Linked DNA regions of Mus musculus. The protein of the gene in region 1 binds, or shares a complex with, the protein of each later gene. Links are inferred from orthologs where the notes say so. Each region holds a gene or a part of one and is shown on either strand. Other genes may lie near its edges.

Region 1 (7,337 bases):
CATTGTGAGGTTGCCATCGTGTGCGTTGATGATGAATGTGCCATCTGTGTTTCCTGGAAGAATTTGGGGGTGGAGTTTGGTGTCTGGTCCCTCTGTTGTGGGCTCCAGGTGCTGTGGAGCTAAGCCCTCACTTACCCGCTATAATGCTGTAGATGATAGACTGGTTAATGGCCTGATCTCCGTCCACAGCATAGATGGGACCAGGACTCATGATGAGGGGGGACGGCTGTAGGGATAGGGACATCTTGAGGTTTCAGAGCCCCCGCTCTTACTCTCTTGTTGCCCCTCAAGATCTGAAACGTGAGTTGGAGCCTGGAGGGAGGGGCAGTGCCTGCTTGGGACAGAGCTGCGGCCACAGAAGGACTCAGTGGCAACAAGAACTTATGAAGGAAGGCTTGCAGCTTCAGTGTATGCCCCTCTGCACAGTGGAGGCTGTGGTGGCCTTGGCGGGCCACCCTGCCCAGTGGCACTGCTGGCCTCAGAGGAGACTGTCATCTAGACAAGGACTTAGCAGTCCCTTATTAGCATCAGCCCTGCTCCTGAAGTCTTCACATCCCAGCTTACATAACAGGATCCACACTCCTCACTGATTTTTGCCCCACCCCCAGGAGGGATAGTTAATGATTGATTGATGATTAATTGATCGATCGATTGATTGATTGTTCATGTTTGTTTCTTAAATCACAGAACTGTCTGCCAGCCTCTCCAGAAGCACAGGGCCATGGCTGGATCCCTTCCCTGAACGTTTTCTGACTTGGCTCTAGATTCAAGTCTGACCCTGGGCCTGGGCCTCCTTTCTCCCCATTACCAGTTTGTGTCCCGTGGGGACAACCGCACTGTATTGGGCATGAATGCAGACATAGCCATCTGTGAAGGAGCATGGCAGGAACCAGGGGGTCCGTAGGTCAGCTGGCAGCGTGTTCAAGACCAGGGTGGCAGTGGCCGTGTGGCTGGGCTCTACATTTTCCTCCCAAGTATCCTGTAGTGACAGCCAGCCCCTGATAGGTCAGGCCCAGCTTGGACAGGACCTAGAACACCCAGGACTTAGGAAGATGTGATCCACTTACCCGTGCCAGCAGCATGAAGGTCATGTTCTGATTCTTGAAGTAATCCAGGGTCTGGTCCAACTTCAGAGCAGGGTAGTTTACGCCCTCCAGGGAGAAGAACTTGCTGGCATTCTGTGGAGGGGAAGGAGGTGGGACTCTGGAAGGTGGAGAAACTGAGGCCTGAAGGCATCAGAAAGAGTGAGGGTTGTCAATAATGAGTGGGGCTGGGGAAGCACTGACGGGGGTCACTTCCTGCAGAGTGTAGACTAGGATGTCATTTATGTCAGCATCTGTAGCCTTCAGCTGTGTCTCAGGGATGACGGTTGTATTCACTTTGGTGTCCTGGGAATGGAGAAGAGGAGGTTGGTCCAGCCATGCTGTGGTTTCTGTATATAGATCTTCCCGATGTGGTCCCGCAGACACCCTGTGTCCCCCTGCAGACACCCTGTGTCCCCCTGCAGACACCCTGTGTCCCCCTGCCTCTCCATGCTCAAGACAGCACTGGTTCCGACTGGGCTCACCTCCGATACATTAAATGTCTTGATTTCAAAGGAGAATTTTGGCGCATTGTCATTGATATCCAGGACAGCCACAAACACCTCCAGGCGTACCACCTGCAGCAAAGTCACCAAAGTCAGCAATGCTCTGATGACCCATCATTCATTCATTCCTTTTCTTATCTGTTTCATTATTCTTATCTTATTCATTCAGTCAGTCAGTCATTCTTTCCCTTTCATTCCACAGCTCTGATGGCAGCAATAATGTGGTGGCCTGTGAGCTACTGTTCTAGGAGGAACGTAGACTGTAAAAACAAGTTTTAGAGTGTGGCCACATGTGTGTGGTGGGTGGGCTGAAGAGAAATGATGACAATCCCAGGGCCACAACCAGCAACGCATCGAAGGGAGAAAAACAGCCTCTCGCGGCTTCAGAAACAGGTCTCCAAGAGAAGATCAGAGAAAGGGGCCTTTAGGTTAAAACCAAACAGCTTTATTCCATGAGAGAACCCTTCCTGAGACCCAGGGAGAAACGAACACAGCCAGGTGCTGGAGGACAGAGAGAAAGCTGTTCTTCTCAGGTGTGACAGATACCAAGTCCATGCCTCTCTCTGTCTTCCTGTTTCTGTCTCTGTCTCTCTGTGTATCTGTATGTCTGTGTATGTGTGTGAATTATATTCATGTGTTGAAGGTGGAGCCCAGGGCTTCAAATCATACTAGGCAGATACTCTACCACTGAACTATACCAAAAAAAAAAAATAAGTTTTGTCTTGTTTTGTTTTTTTAATATTACTACCTATTAGAGACGTGGCCCAAGATGTGTGTGGTAACATGTCATGGAGCCAGGTAGGAGTGCAGGGTGTGAGAGTTGCTCATGGTGAAGCAGAAATTATGTGGGGCCTGTTATTTCTTCGAGCTTCCTTTAGTAAAAGGCTTGTGGTGGAGGCTGAGGGATACGATGTATGGGATAGGGTAGCGGGGCAGCATAACGTAGGAGGGTTAAGCATCAAAATGAATTTGCATACCAGATCAGTGTCTGCATGCCCTAGCCTGCCTCACCCACCCACCTGTGCATTTAGCTTTGGAGTCCGGTAAGAAACGTAGAAGTTTCTGTGTGAGGCTGTCTGGGGTTGTGGTTATGACTCTCTAGGGATTCACTATGTGGGGGAAGGAATAGAGAAGGACCAAGGGCACGGAGAGCAAATGGATCTGCGGCAGGGTCAGAAAGGAGACCTGCTGCCCAAGGCCCCGTGGGACTAGAGGTAGGAAGAGTAGGGCTGACTCTAACTGAGGCACAACCGACAATCCCAACAATGTACCTGGGGTGGGGTGACCTCAAAAGGGGCCTAAGTGGCTGGCAGGTGAGGGATGAGAGGCAGACTTAGGGCCTCAGGGTATTGACTTAATCCACAGCTCTAAGTTAGCTGACTTTGAGTCTGGAGCTCAGGGAAGTCTAGGCTGAAAGAAGCAAGCGTGGGAGTGGCCAGGAGAGAGCTGAGGTCATGGGGGAATGGCCTTGGGGTACTCTGACAGAAGGCAGAGGTGATCAGGTACTGGGGTTAACTTACCACCGCATCTCCTCTCTTACACTCCACATCTGCCTGGAGCAATGAGTTTTCCTAAGGATGAAGCCAGGGGCCCTATGAGTCACTTGCCACATAAGGAGCTATGCTGCTCTAGAACGGGAGAGTACGGCTAGGAGAGCAGGTACCGCTCCAGCGCCCCAGTCATCTGTGGGAAATCCTGGGTGTGTGGGGGGGGGCATTTGGCAGCTTTGTCCCCTACGGCCCTCCCCCTCAGTACCAACCAACCGACCACAGGGCCTGAAGGGTTCCTCACTCAGGGGGATAGAGAACCCTCAGCCCCTCCTTCCCTGAATCTTCCCCAGGTTAGGAGGCCCGCCCATGTATGTCTCCATGAAGGCACATTCCATCCAGCCTACAGACTGTACCTCATAATCTGGAGTCACGTTGAGAAACAGATCTTTTCCTTCGATCCTAAAGGCATAAGGAGTGGACAAGGGTCCCAAGGTCACGTGCAGGCCGTCTGGGACAAAAATGTTCACCAGTGGCTCAGAAACAGTGGTGTTCTCCTCGACTCTAAATATGGTCTGGTTCACAGAGCAGACTAGAAAGTTGGAAAGAAGAAGTTGGTTCCTCATCAGAGCTCTGCCACCCACCTGTCCTGCCCCTGCCCGACACATACCCTGGGTCTGGGCCAAGGTCCCCGGAGGTTGGCCAAACAGCACTGTGAGCCATGGCAACAGCAGGGAAGGCCACAGGAGGGCCGGAGCCCCCATGGCGGCAGCTGTCACCTGGAAGAAGGATCCAGCTTGCTTGGTTCCAGGGCTGGTACAATTCCTGCCTTGGCGACCTTCGCCCCTGCCAGGCACCGCCTCATTTTATGACCCTTTACAGATGGCCTCTATCAAGGGGACTCCCGCTGGCCGGCACTAACAGGGGACATGAGGTCATATTTCGGCCTGGACTTCCAGGAAGTTAGCTGGAGACTCAACCCACGGGAACTACACATAAGGTGTATGAAGCTTGAGAACAAGGAGGAGTGGAGAATAGGTGTGGGGAGCCAGGGCAAGGCTCTGGGGCCATAGATCTAAGGAGGCTGAGTCAGGGCTGGGGGCTGAAGCAGGCCTGTGGGATGGAACCATGGGTCTGGGGAGCTGGGGCAGGGCTATGGGGAGCTGGGGCAGGGCTATGGAGAGCTGGGGCAGGGCTATGGAGAGCTGGGGCAGGGCTGTGGGGAACTGGGGCAGGGCTGTAGGGAGCTGAGTCAGGGCTGGGGGCTGAAGCAGGCCTGTGGGATGGAACCATGGGTCTGGGGAGCTGGGGCAGGGCTGTGGGGAGCTGGGGCAGGGCTATGGAGAGCTGGGGCAGGGCTGTGGGGAATGGGGGCAGGGCTGTGGGGAGCTGGGAGCAAGAACAGGCTGAGCCATTGGGTCTACTGTAGCCCTCATTGGGGTGTCCCTCATCTTGTCTCTTTCTCCTCAGTGTTCTCTAGCAAAATCCCTGGAGCTATGTCATGTCGTCTCCCTTCCCTTCCCTCGTCCACTCCCAAGGGAAATGGCTGTGTCCCAGTATGCTCCTGCTGTATGAGAAACACAGCAGTTCCCCCAGGGTAGGGCCTGGCAGAGCCTTGGTTGGTGTTAGGATGCAGATAGAACCTTTCAGCCACAGCTAGGAGCTGGGGTTTGGGGAGCCAGTATCTGATGGAAGACAGGAATCCTGGTGAGGACACAGCCCAGGCCTCCATTAGATATGCTTCCTCTCCTTTTGCCTGTAAGCTCTCAGAGATAGGAAGAAGGCCCTGGGTGGGATCAGGAGGGTCGTAGGGGGTGTTCTGTTGAAAGGGCCTGCACAGCTCTCACTACTGTGGGCCTTTGCAGGGCTGGCTGCTTTAGGTGTCTGAAAACCTTCCCGAGGCTCCAAGCCTCTGCAAAGACTGAGCACTGTCTCACAACCCTTCACTGGTCCTACAGCTGCCTACTGGGAGATGACATCACCGTCAGGCCTCAGGCCTAGACATGTTAGAGCCAGGATGTACTCAGGTCCTCCCACTCATAAGCGGACCCCTATGACCCCGCCTGAGCCTCCTCCTCACCACTTCATTTACCCTGGCCACATGGCTGGACCAGGGTGGGGAGTCCCTGATCCCTAGAAATTTTGCTAAATGGACCACAGGGCAAGGTGGCACTCTAGGGAATTCAGCTGGGAAAAGAGGGGTTCAGCTGATGCCAGAGATAAGAAATGTCCTAGCTGGCTTCTTGGGTTCAAAGGGCAGCTGGGTGTGGTCCTAGCCACTGAATGAGATGGCTGGATCTGTCCACGCCTTCCAGGCTCTCGGAGCAGAGGCGGCCTTCATTTTATCAGACATCACACACCATGAGCTAAAAGACCAGGGTCTAAATTCCTTTTTTATTGATGCCAAGGACAACCAATCCCTACTCCAGCCAGGGTCCTAGAGACTCTTCCTCCCTCATCTGGGTGGCCTGGTTGTTTCAGTCCACTCTGAACGATCAACAGCAGACCTTGGTCCAGGAGGCAGCCAGAGAGACAGGGACCCATCCAGGGACAGCCTGGGCAGAAGCCTGTGGAAGGAGAGGGGACTAGTGAGTGACCATCAGAGTGCGGGTACCCACCTGGCTGGGGCACTTTAGGAATCCAGCTGAGGATGGAAAACTCACCAGTCCTGTAGGGTCTGAGTGTTCGACCACAGCAAGCAGAGCTGGTCCTCTAAGGGCTTGGACCGGGCCAGGCTGTTCTCTGGGATATTTTCTGTGTCCTGCTCGCTGACCCCACCCCCACCCCCACGCCCAAAGTAGAATTAGTGGTGTACAGGGATGTGGCGGGCCTGTCCCATACTAGCCAGTCTGGAAAATTCTACCTAGCGCGGGCTCACCTGCGCTTCCCCACCAGACCCTGCAGCAGGCGCTGCAGCCTGGCACTGTCCTGCAAGCGGCTGAGCTCGCTGGTGAACATTCCGTCTGAGTGTCTTGGGGTCCTGGGGAGGGGTGAAGCCATAAGGGTCAGAAATTGAAGTGTGGGCGTGGCCGGGATGAAACGGATTCCCAACCCTGCTCACCTGGGAGGTGCAGGGAGCGCGGCGGAACTGGAGAGCAGCAGCAGCAACAGCAGTAGCATCGGCGTGGGCAGCGGAGGCTCCATGGTCGGGCTCTGGGTGTGACAAATGCTGCAACTTCAGCCTGAGCCCCGCGCCACCGCTTTATAGCTGCCGGGACCGCCGGCGGCGGTGGGCTCCAGCACCGCCCCGGCTCCGCGCGGCCGGCCCCGCCTCATTGATTGCAGGAAGGTCAGGGCCGCCCACCCAGCTGTCGTCCGGCCACCTCCTGTCCCTACCGCCGTGTTGGCGCCCCTCAACTGCCTTGGGGGGGGAGATTAGAGGAGTAGTGCTACCAAGTAGCGAAATGGACATCTTCATCTGTGTCCAGGGATAGAAAATAGGGGTGGCAGTTCAGGACGGGCAGAGCGAACCGCACTGTGAGACCTCAACTCATCTTGGAGCCTAGCCTAGACCAAGACCTTGCCGCACTCTTGTCTGGAAGGAGCTGTAGGTGTCTTGAGGAGCCTAGGGCAGGCAGACGACTGAGAGGAAAGGAAGACCAGTGTCCTAGCGCTCCTGCTGAAGCCAGGGCAGGGTAGACTACTGCAGATAACCACCTTAAGGGCAGCTCAGCACCAGAAACAAAATGGGAATCCTCGTAGGCCTGGGGTTGCATTTTTGGATGGAAGGAGACAGTTTATTTGAATTGGTAGCAGAAAATGGAGATAGGTTAGAATAAAAGAAACGCAGGTGGGTAGAGGTTGTAAAGGAGTTGGGGCGGGGAGCTATGGATGGGGATTGAAGACAAATAGGCTTGCAGAACATCTTCATACTTGGAGTCCCCGACCTTAGTGGTAGCAGTACGCACCAAGACCTGAGTTCAACCCAGCACCGAAACTCAAATCAAAAAAGATAACCCTTGGGGCTGGAGAGATGGCTCAGAGGTTAAGAGCACTGACTGCTCTTCCAAAGGTCCCGAGTTCAATTCCCAGCAACCACATGGTGGCTCACAACCATCTGTAATAAGATCTGACGCCCTCTTCTGGTGTGTCTGAAGACAGCTACAGTGTACTTACATATAATAAATAAATAAATATTTAAAAAAAAAAAAAAAAGATAACCCTTAATATCAAATTACAAACCCAGAGAACTGTTAGGAGCTAACTCTCAGATAAAAATCATATGGTTTTGTTTTTTTTTAATTTTTTTTATTAGGTATTTT
Region 2 (6,848 bases), on another chromosome or scaffold:
GTGAAGTATCTCCCTCTCTGAGCCTCTGGTCTGGTGTCTGTGACATGGGATAATGGGGTGGTTGTGGGGACGGTGTGGGTGTAGGTCCCTGCAGGTGTGCGTTAACCTTGCCAGCGTCTGTGAGAACATGGGTGGTGTTGGTGGAGTGTACGTGTAACACACCTCCTTTAAGCCTTTCAGATGAGGACCTTGCTGAAGCTGACCCCATGATACGGATGCTTGTGTTCCTAAGCTTCACTTTGGGTCTTGTGGATCTGAGGAAGCCGCCCTTCTCCACCAGTCCCATGAGCCCCTTCCCTCTCCCAGTGGGCACCTGTGGCCCTTCTGTCCTGCAGGGCCATGGCGAACACAGATCTCTCCTTCAAGCCTCCCAAGAACAAGGCCACCATCTCTGCAATAGCCACGCTGCTGGGGGAGACGAACTCGTACTCTTCCTGGAGTGTGGCGAGAAGCAGCTTCTTCCCTCCTGGGGCGTCCCTGAGGGCACAAAGGGCGCAGTGGGACCAGAGCCTTCCCGGCTCGCTCTCTCTCATTACGGCTCCTGAGCAGCCTTTGAGAAGTGACAGCTCCAGCGCCAGACATGAGGAAACAAGGGACTCCTAAAGGGTCCTTGGAAGAGGTTAGTCAGAGTCCAGGTTGGCCCAAGTTCCAGGCAGCACCTTAGGCACTGGACAAGTGGCAAGCAGATCTCTGTGTTCCAGAGGCAGCGGGGTGTGAACTGTCCCAGCATGAAAGACTGCTCTAAGCAGAAAATGGGCAACATCACACAGAGTGCTCTAGGCTTGGAACATGGGACAGTTACCTAGCTGATGTGCCTCAGTTTACTTCTCTCCAGAATGGGTGCAATTGTTAAAACTGACTGTCACCGTGTTAGCCTCTAGCTCACCTACGTGACCAACCTCCGGGTATACCTCATAGTTTCTAGCTGATGTGGGCAGACCCGTACTAAATGTGGGTACCGCATTCTGTAGGCTCAGATCCCTGGCTGAGTGAGAAAGAGAAAGCTAGCTGAGCAGTGCTCATCTCTCTGCTTCCTGCTGTGACACGGCAGGGCAGCTGCCTCACGTTCCTGCTGTCTGTCTTTCCTCGTGATGTCTGAACCCTCAACCTGTGAGTCACACTGAACCCACCCTCCCTTAAGTTGCTTATACTGGGTAGTTTTGTGTGGCAGCAAGGCAATTCGCTAGCCCAGCAGGGGATGCTGTGAGGACTTCCAGTTGCCCAGGAGAGTGGGCAGTGGACCCCAGGGAGCAATGGTACTGTGAACCTGTCAGACCCCTAGCAAGACTAAGGAACTGAAGTGGAACAGTTCCTAAGGCAGGAGTTCCCAGATGCCTTGGAAGAACTCTGAGCAAGTGTGGGAGGGTGTCTCCAAGTCCCATGTGTAGCCAGCATTTGCTACTTTACAAGTTCAGGGGTACACAGAAGGCAAGCGCTTCCCCTTCCAGTTAATGGCAAAAATCAGCTGTGAAGGAGGGGAAGGCGGGGACCTGGCCAGAAGGCGACCCCAGCCTGAAGGCCATGCTGGCCACCAGGAGCAGGCTCCTTGTCCTCCCCAACCGCACAGCACCACATGCTCTTACCAGAGAGTGTGATACCCTCTCTCTCCCTTACAACCCCCTAATGCTAGAAAGGACAGAACAAAGGATAGAGGGGAAAGGGGCGACATTACTGTTAGACTACTTCCTGTTGACAGAGGTGTGAGTTCCTTGGTGAAAGTTTGGTTTTCTCTGTCAGCATATCGAATTTCTTCCTCTTGTTGTTTCGCCTTTGATCATGCCCACTTATCAAACTATGACCAACAGCAACCAACCACCAACCAGCAACCCATACCACCTCTTGAGAACCCAGCATTTATGTACCCTCTGAAAAGTCCCCAGAATTCCAAACGTCTCACAATTGCAGAAATTATCTGCAGCTGGCAAAATCACGCCCCTGATAAAGCATGAGGCAAGTCATAATCAGCGGCTGTGAATTGTTTAAAGCGGCCCCATGTCCTACACTTGGGATTAAAATGCAGACGTATTCTTATACAGTTTCTGTTTTTTCAAAGAAGCCGCAGATTCACCCTGCACTTGTGCTTGCTCCACTTATCCTGCTACTGCTGACTCGTGAGCCCCTCCTCATGTCTGTCCTTGAGTTCCACATCCACCTAAGCCAAGGTCTCAGGTTGAGAAGTAAAAGACTTGAGTTTTACCTGTTGGCGACCAGACCCATGACCTCTGCGAAGGACAACCCCAGCAGTGTCCTCTCCTTCTGATCCAGGAAGTACATCCCCTTCCAGTTAATGGCTAAAACCAGCTGCGTCTTGGGAAGGCGGGGACCTGGCCAGAAGGCAACCCCAGACTGAAGGCCATGCTGATCACCATGAGAACCCTGTCCTCCCCAACCACACAGCACCACATGCTCTTACCAGAGAGTGTGGTGACTTCAAATAGCCGGGAGAAGAGCAGGGGCCACAGAAGACGGGCAGCCTCCACTGTCTGCTCCCTCACCGCCAGTGGCGTGGCTTTCGACTGGGTATACTGGGCCTATATAGAGTGGAAAAGCCCGGGCTGCATATGGAAGGATGAAGGACAACCTCCAACATTGGCCCTCACCTTCCATCTTGATTGACAGATGGTCTCTCTCTCTGTCTCTGTCTCTCTCTGTGTCTCTGTGTCTCTGTCTCTGTCTCTGTCTCTGTCCCTTCTCTGTCTCTCTGTCTCTGTCTCTCTCTTATTTTTTGAGACAGGGTTTCTCTGTGTAGCCCCGGCTGTCCTGGAACTCATCCTGTAGACCAGGCTGGCCTCGAACTCAGAAATCTGCCTGCCTCTGGCCTCCCAAGTGCTGAGATTAAAGGCGTGCACCTCCGCTGCCCAGCATGACACATGGTCTCTTGTTGCTCACTATTGCTGTGCCAGGCTAGCTGGCTCCCAGGATTCTATCAATCCTCCTGTTCCTGCCTCCATCTCTCTGAAGGTACACATCGGGACTGCACAGGCGTGTGCTACCCCACCCAGCACTTCATGGGTTCTGGTGATTTGAACTCAGGGTGTCAGCCCTGCGCAGCAAGCTCTTTACCAACCAAGCCATCTCTACACTTCTCTCATCCTTATATTTCTTCCCTTTGCCTGGCTCGCCCTTTCCCTTCCTCACATGTCCCACATCCACTGGGCTGTGCCTAAAATGGCCTCAAGTTTTCTTTCTCTGTTGGACCAAATGCCATTTCTCATCTCTACATTCATGTGCTGACTTTAGGCATGGAAATGAACACAGCAGATATGAAGGGTGATTTGGCCATCTGCCACATGTACCAAACACTTAGGACGTGTACACGGTGACCTAAGATTTCCATGTGCCCACTGAGGGGACACTGAAAGGCTTGGAGGTGAGCATGAAGGGAAGAAATGATGAGCCTGTGCCAGGCCACAGAACTGTCAGAATTCAGCAGCTGTGGAGCCTCAGGCCCTGGAAAAAGGCCAGCTAGGTGCCGCTGGGCAGAGCAGTTTGGGACCAAGAGGCCTATGCAGAGGGAGGGCAGGTGACAGGAACCTGTGCTGATGTGCTGAGCTGAAGGAGACACTTTGTCCCTTGCATCAGGGATGTGCCTTTTAAGGCTTCCTGGTCCCTGGCACATGGGAGACTCATGGGGGAAGGGACCCATTCCTCTCATCACCCCTCAGAGTGGACCCAGAGTGCCCAGCCTGCCACAGACTGACCTTGGCATGGGCAGCGGTGACAAGGCTAGCCCACTTCTCTGGAGACTTGGTCCGGTACAGTTTGGAGGGAACACAGCTGGGCAACAGCTCCTGGACAGCGTTACTCTTCACCGTGGCCCCAAGCTGCACATAGCAGTGCCGGGCCAGCAGCTCCACAAGCTCCTCCTCCTGTGTGCCAGGGACAGCGGGAGCATAAGAGGGGTGAGTAAGGGCCCACAAGGTCTTCCCACGAGGCAGCTCCTGCCTCAGAGCAGTGGGGCTCACCAGCCTCTCACACAAGGAAGGAGGCAGGAGCAGCCTCCTGTCCTAACCTCTCCCCTACACTGCTGCTCTAGGAGGGGCAAAGTCCTCCCATGCCAAAAACACAGTGGCTGCCCCATTCAGGCAGACGGCTGAAATGGCTGTGGCTGTTAGGGTCCCAAGACACAGCCTCCTGATGTGGCATGTGGTGTTTGCACCTGGTGCCACATAGTCACAGAGCACCCTGTTGTTAGAGCTCTTTGTGCATCCCAGATGTGAGTGACCCCGAGGGTCCTCTTCTTCCTTCCCTTCTCATCTCCTCCCCTCTTCTTTCTCCATGTTCTTCCTCCTCTTTCCCCTCTTTTCCCTCCTTCTCCCTCCCCCCAACCCCTAGAATAAGCCTCATGTATCTCAGACTGGCCTCAAACTCCCTATATATCCAAGGATAACCTTAAACTTATGCTCTTCTTGCCTCCCAGTTGCTGGCATTACAGGGGTTCGCTACCAGGTTCAGTTTATACAGTACGAGGGATCGAACCCAGGCTATCATCATTCAGCTTCGAGGCTACATTCCTGATCCCCAGGATACACTGCTCTATGAGCAGCTGGTGTGGGAGGTCAGGGAGCCTGGGACAAGTAGGGGGGCCTTTTCTGCCTGATGCTGTGGGTGCCAAGGATCCCAGATGCCCAAGCAAACCTGCAACCCAGAGGAGGAAGAAGGCGGCCAGGCCTGGGAGAGATGTCTGTGCCCAGTGTTGGCTCCATGCCTGCACCCTTGTATCTACCTTTCCATCCATCCTTCCTCAGGCTCCTGTCTGCCACATTCTTTATTACTTCCATTGCCACGTAGCCCCTATACTGCAAAGCATCCTGATGGCCACAGTCTAGGAATGGGGCAACTCGCAGGGCTCCTCACCTTCTCAAAGTTATACTCGCCAGACCACACCCCACGGAGGACTTGGTGGTAAATGAGCTCAGTGCTCACAGGGTCCTCCTGGGAGTCATGCCAGGGGGTGAAGAACTCCTTCCGGAAGTAGATACGCCAGGGGGCCTGCCGCTGGCTCTCTCCCCTCTCTCGGGCCAGTTGCTCACACTGGGCCACAGCATCCATCAAATGGTCACAGCCGCTGCCCAAGGACCAGAACTGAGAATTGGGGGCAGGAGGGATTAACAGCTGCGATATGCCACGCCCCAACACAGACATCTATCCTTAACATCGTATGAGGAAGACAGGGACCATAGTGCCCTGTGTGGGCCAAGAAGCCACTCCTGAGTCCAGTCGGACACCAAAATGCTTCTTTCTTTCTCTTCATGTTTTGTGTGTGTGTGTGTGTGTGTGTGTGTGTGTGTGTGTGTGTGTGTTTGTGGAGGTCACAGGTGGATGGCAAATCTTCCCTAATTGCTTTCCATCTCTGTTTCCGAGATGGGATCTCTCATTGAACCTAGAACTCACTGATTTGGTTGGGTTTGCTGGTCAATGAGCCCTGAGACTCTCACATCTCCATTTGGGTAGTGCAGCAGCAAATGCCGCCATGCTTAGATTATTTACATGGTACTGGGGGATTGGTCTCAACTATCCATGCCACAGTATGTACTTTACCAGCTGAACTGTCTCCCCAGCTCGCAGAAGGTGTCCTGGTCTGTCCATCACCTCCTAAAATGCTTCCTAAAGAAGGGAGAGTTTGACTCCTACAGATAAATATTAGGGTTCCTAGGTTTGGGGGTAAAGGCTCATATCTAGCCCTATGTGGTTAAACGTACAACTGATGGCCTGTAAGTATGCAGGAGGACTGGGCGTGTGTTATGAGGTGTCTCTGGTGTGTGTGCATATGCATGGATGTGTGTGTGTGTGCACGAATGTATGTATATGCATGCCCATATATGTGGTGTGTGTGTGTGGTGGCTGAGGATGCAGGCATGGCAGGTTAATAGGTACAGATTCTGGCTTCAGGGTGCTCTGGCCCAGGTGTGCATAGGAGGCATAGGTAGGATATGAGTCCTAGCTGATACCTTATCATATACAGCGACCTGGAGGGAGAAGCCCAGATTGTCCCTGAGACCCTGTTTCTGAGCGACGTGCTGGCAGATTTCTCGTGATGTGGAGGCGGAGTCCACAGAGATGGTCAGGCTCCTTCCGGTTGCCAGGATGACCTGGATCGGGATGTGCTTCTTGGACTTGACAGCCTAGGGACAGATAGGCGGTACTCTGCAGTCCTGGGACCCAGAGCCTGTCCCCAGAGGCTCCCCATCCCTAAGCTTGCTTGTTCCTACAGAGTCCTGAGGGTGAGTCCCTCAGAAGACCCAGGGTCTGATTGCGAATTGGCATGGTGTCCAGTGGTCTGTGCTACCCACCCAGAGCAGGTAAGCTGTAGACTTTGTAGTCTCTGCAGCCCTGATGTATAGCCTGTATCCCATAATAAGCCACACTCAGATGCAAACCCAAGGTGCTGAGGTTGTCTCAAAGTTTAAGTCATTGGATCCTAAGCCCAACACTGTATAGGTAGATACGAGTGGCTTCATGTTCACCTATAGTTTGCCTATTTGGGAATTTGGGGAAGGAAGGCAGGGGAAATTGAAGAGTGAACATGAAGGGAATGTGGCCAGAGGAGGCCTGCTGTCTACATGGGGCAGGTACAGGCACTGCTGTGACCCAGAGTACTCCCTTTATCCTGGTGGTCTGGAATGACCCTTTCTGAAGTCTTGAGAACTCAGGGATGTCATGAGACAAAGCAGGTAGAGGTGGTGCCGGCTCCCAATAAATAGCAGAGCTATGAAAGGCGACAAGCTTGCAGGACCATTGCCTTCTAGAAGCTAGAAGCAATCAGTGTGCGCTCTCTATACGGAGCATGGTAGTGATATCTTCCCGTCCAGGTAGGTGGGAGGTAGGAACAAAACAGGAATGTGGGT

The links. Proteins that work in one complex are often made in the same cells at the same time.
Region 2: Cdhr5 (region 1) and Myo7b share a complex: the UniProt entries of both Homo sapiens proteins name them as parts of the IMAC/intermicrovillar adhesion complex. The link is inferred for Mus musculus from reciprocal best matches to the Homo sapiens genes CDHR5 and MYO7B.

What each region holds. Positions count from the first base shown.
Region 1 is NC_000073.6:141,272,880-141,280,216, forward strand, and holds the start of Cdhr5 (cadherin-related family member 5 isoform 1 precursor), read right to left. Parts: upstream 3,908-7,337; 5' UTR 3,840-3,907; coding exon 3,746-3,839; intron 3,668-3,745; coding exon 3,492-3,667; intron 3,160-3,491; coding exon 3,109-3,159; intron 1,661-3,108; coding exon 1,568-1,660; intron 1,389-1,567; coding exon 1,287-1,388; intron 1,179-1,286; coding exon 1,068-1,178; intron 980-1,067; coding exon 809-979; intron 227-808; coding exon 136-226; intron 54-135; coding exon 1-53. Other genes in the region: Sct (secretin isoform 1 precursor), read right to left, coding at 5,531-5,660, 5,739-5,843, 5,954-6,055, 6,137-6,219. UniProt on the Homo sapiens protein: Intermicrovillar adhesion molecule that forms, via its extracellular domain, calcium-dependent heterophilic complexes with CDHR2 on adjacent microvilli. Thereby, controls the packing of microvilli at the apical membrane of epithelial cells.
Region 2 is NC_000084.6:31,969,124-31,975,971, forward strand, and holds part of Myo7b (unconventional myosin-VIIb), read right to left. Parts: intron 6,126-6,848; coding exon 5,952-6,125; intron 5,086-5,951; coding exon 4,858-5,085; intron 3,870-4,857; coding exon 3,702-3,869; intron 2,532-3,701; coding exon 2,414-2,531; intron 2,325-2,413; coding exon 2,198-2,324; intron 478-2,197; coding exon 314-477; intron 1-313. UniProt on the Homo sapiens protein: Myosins are actin-based motor molecules with ATPase activity. Their highly divergent tails are presumed to bind to membranous compartments, which would be moved relative to actin filaments.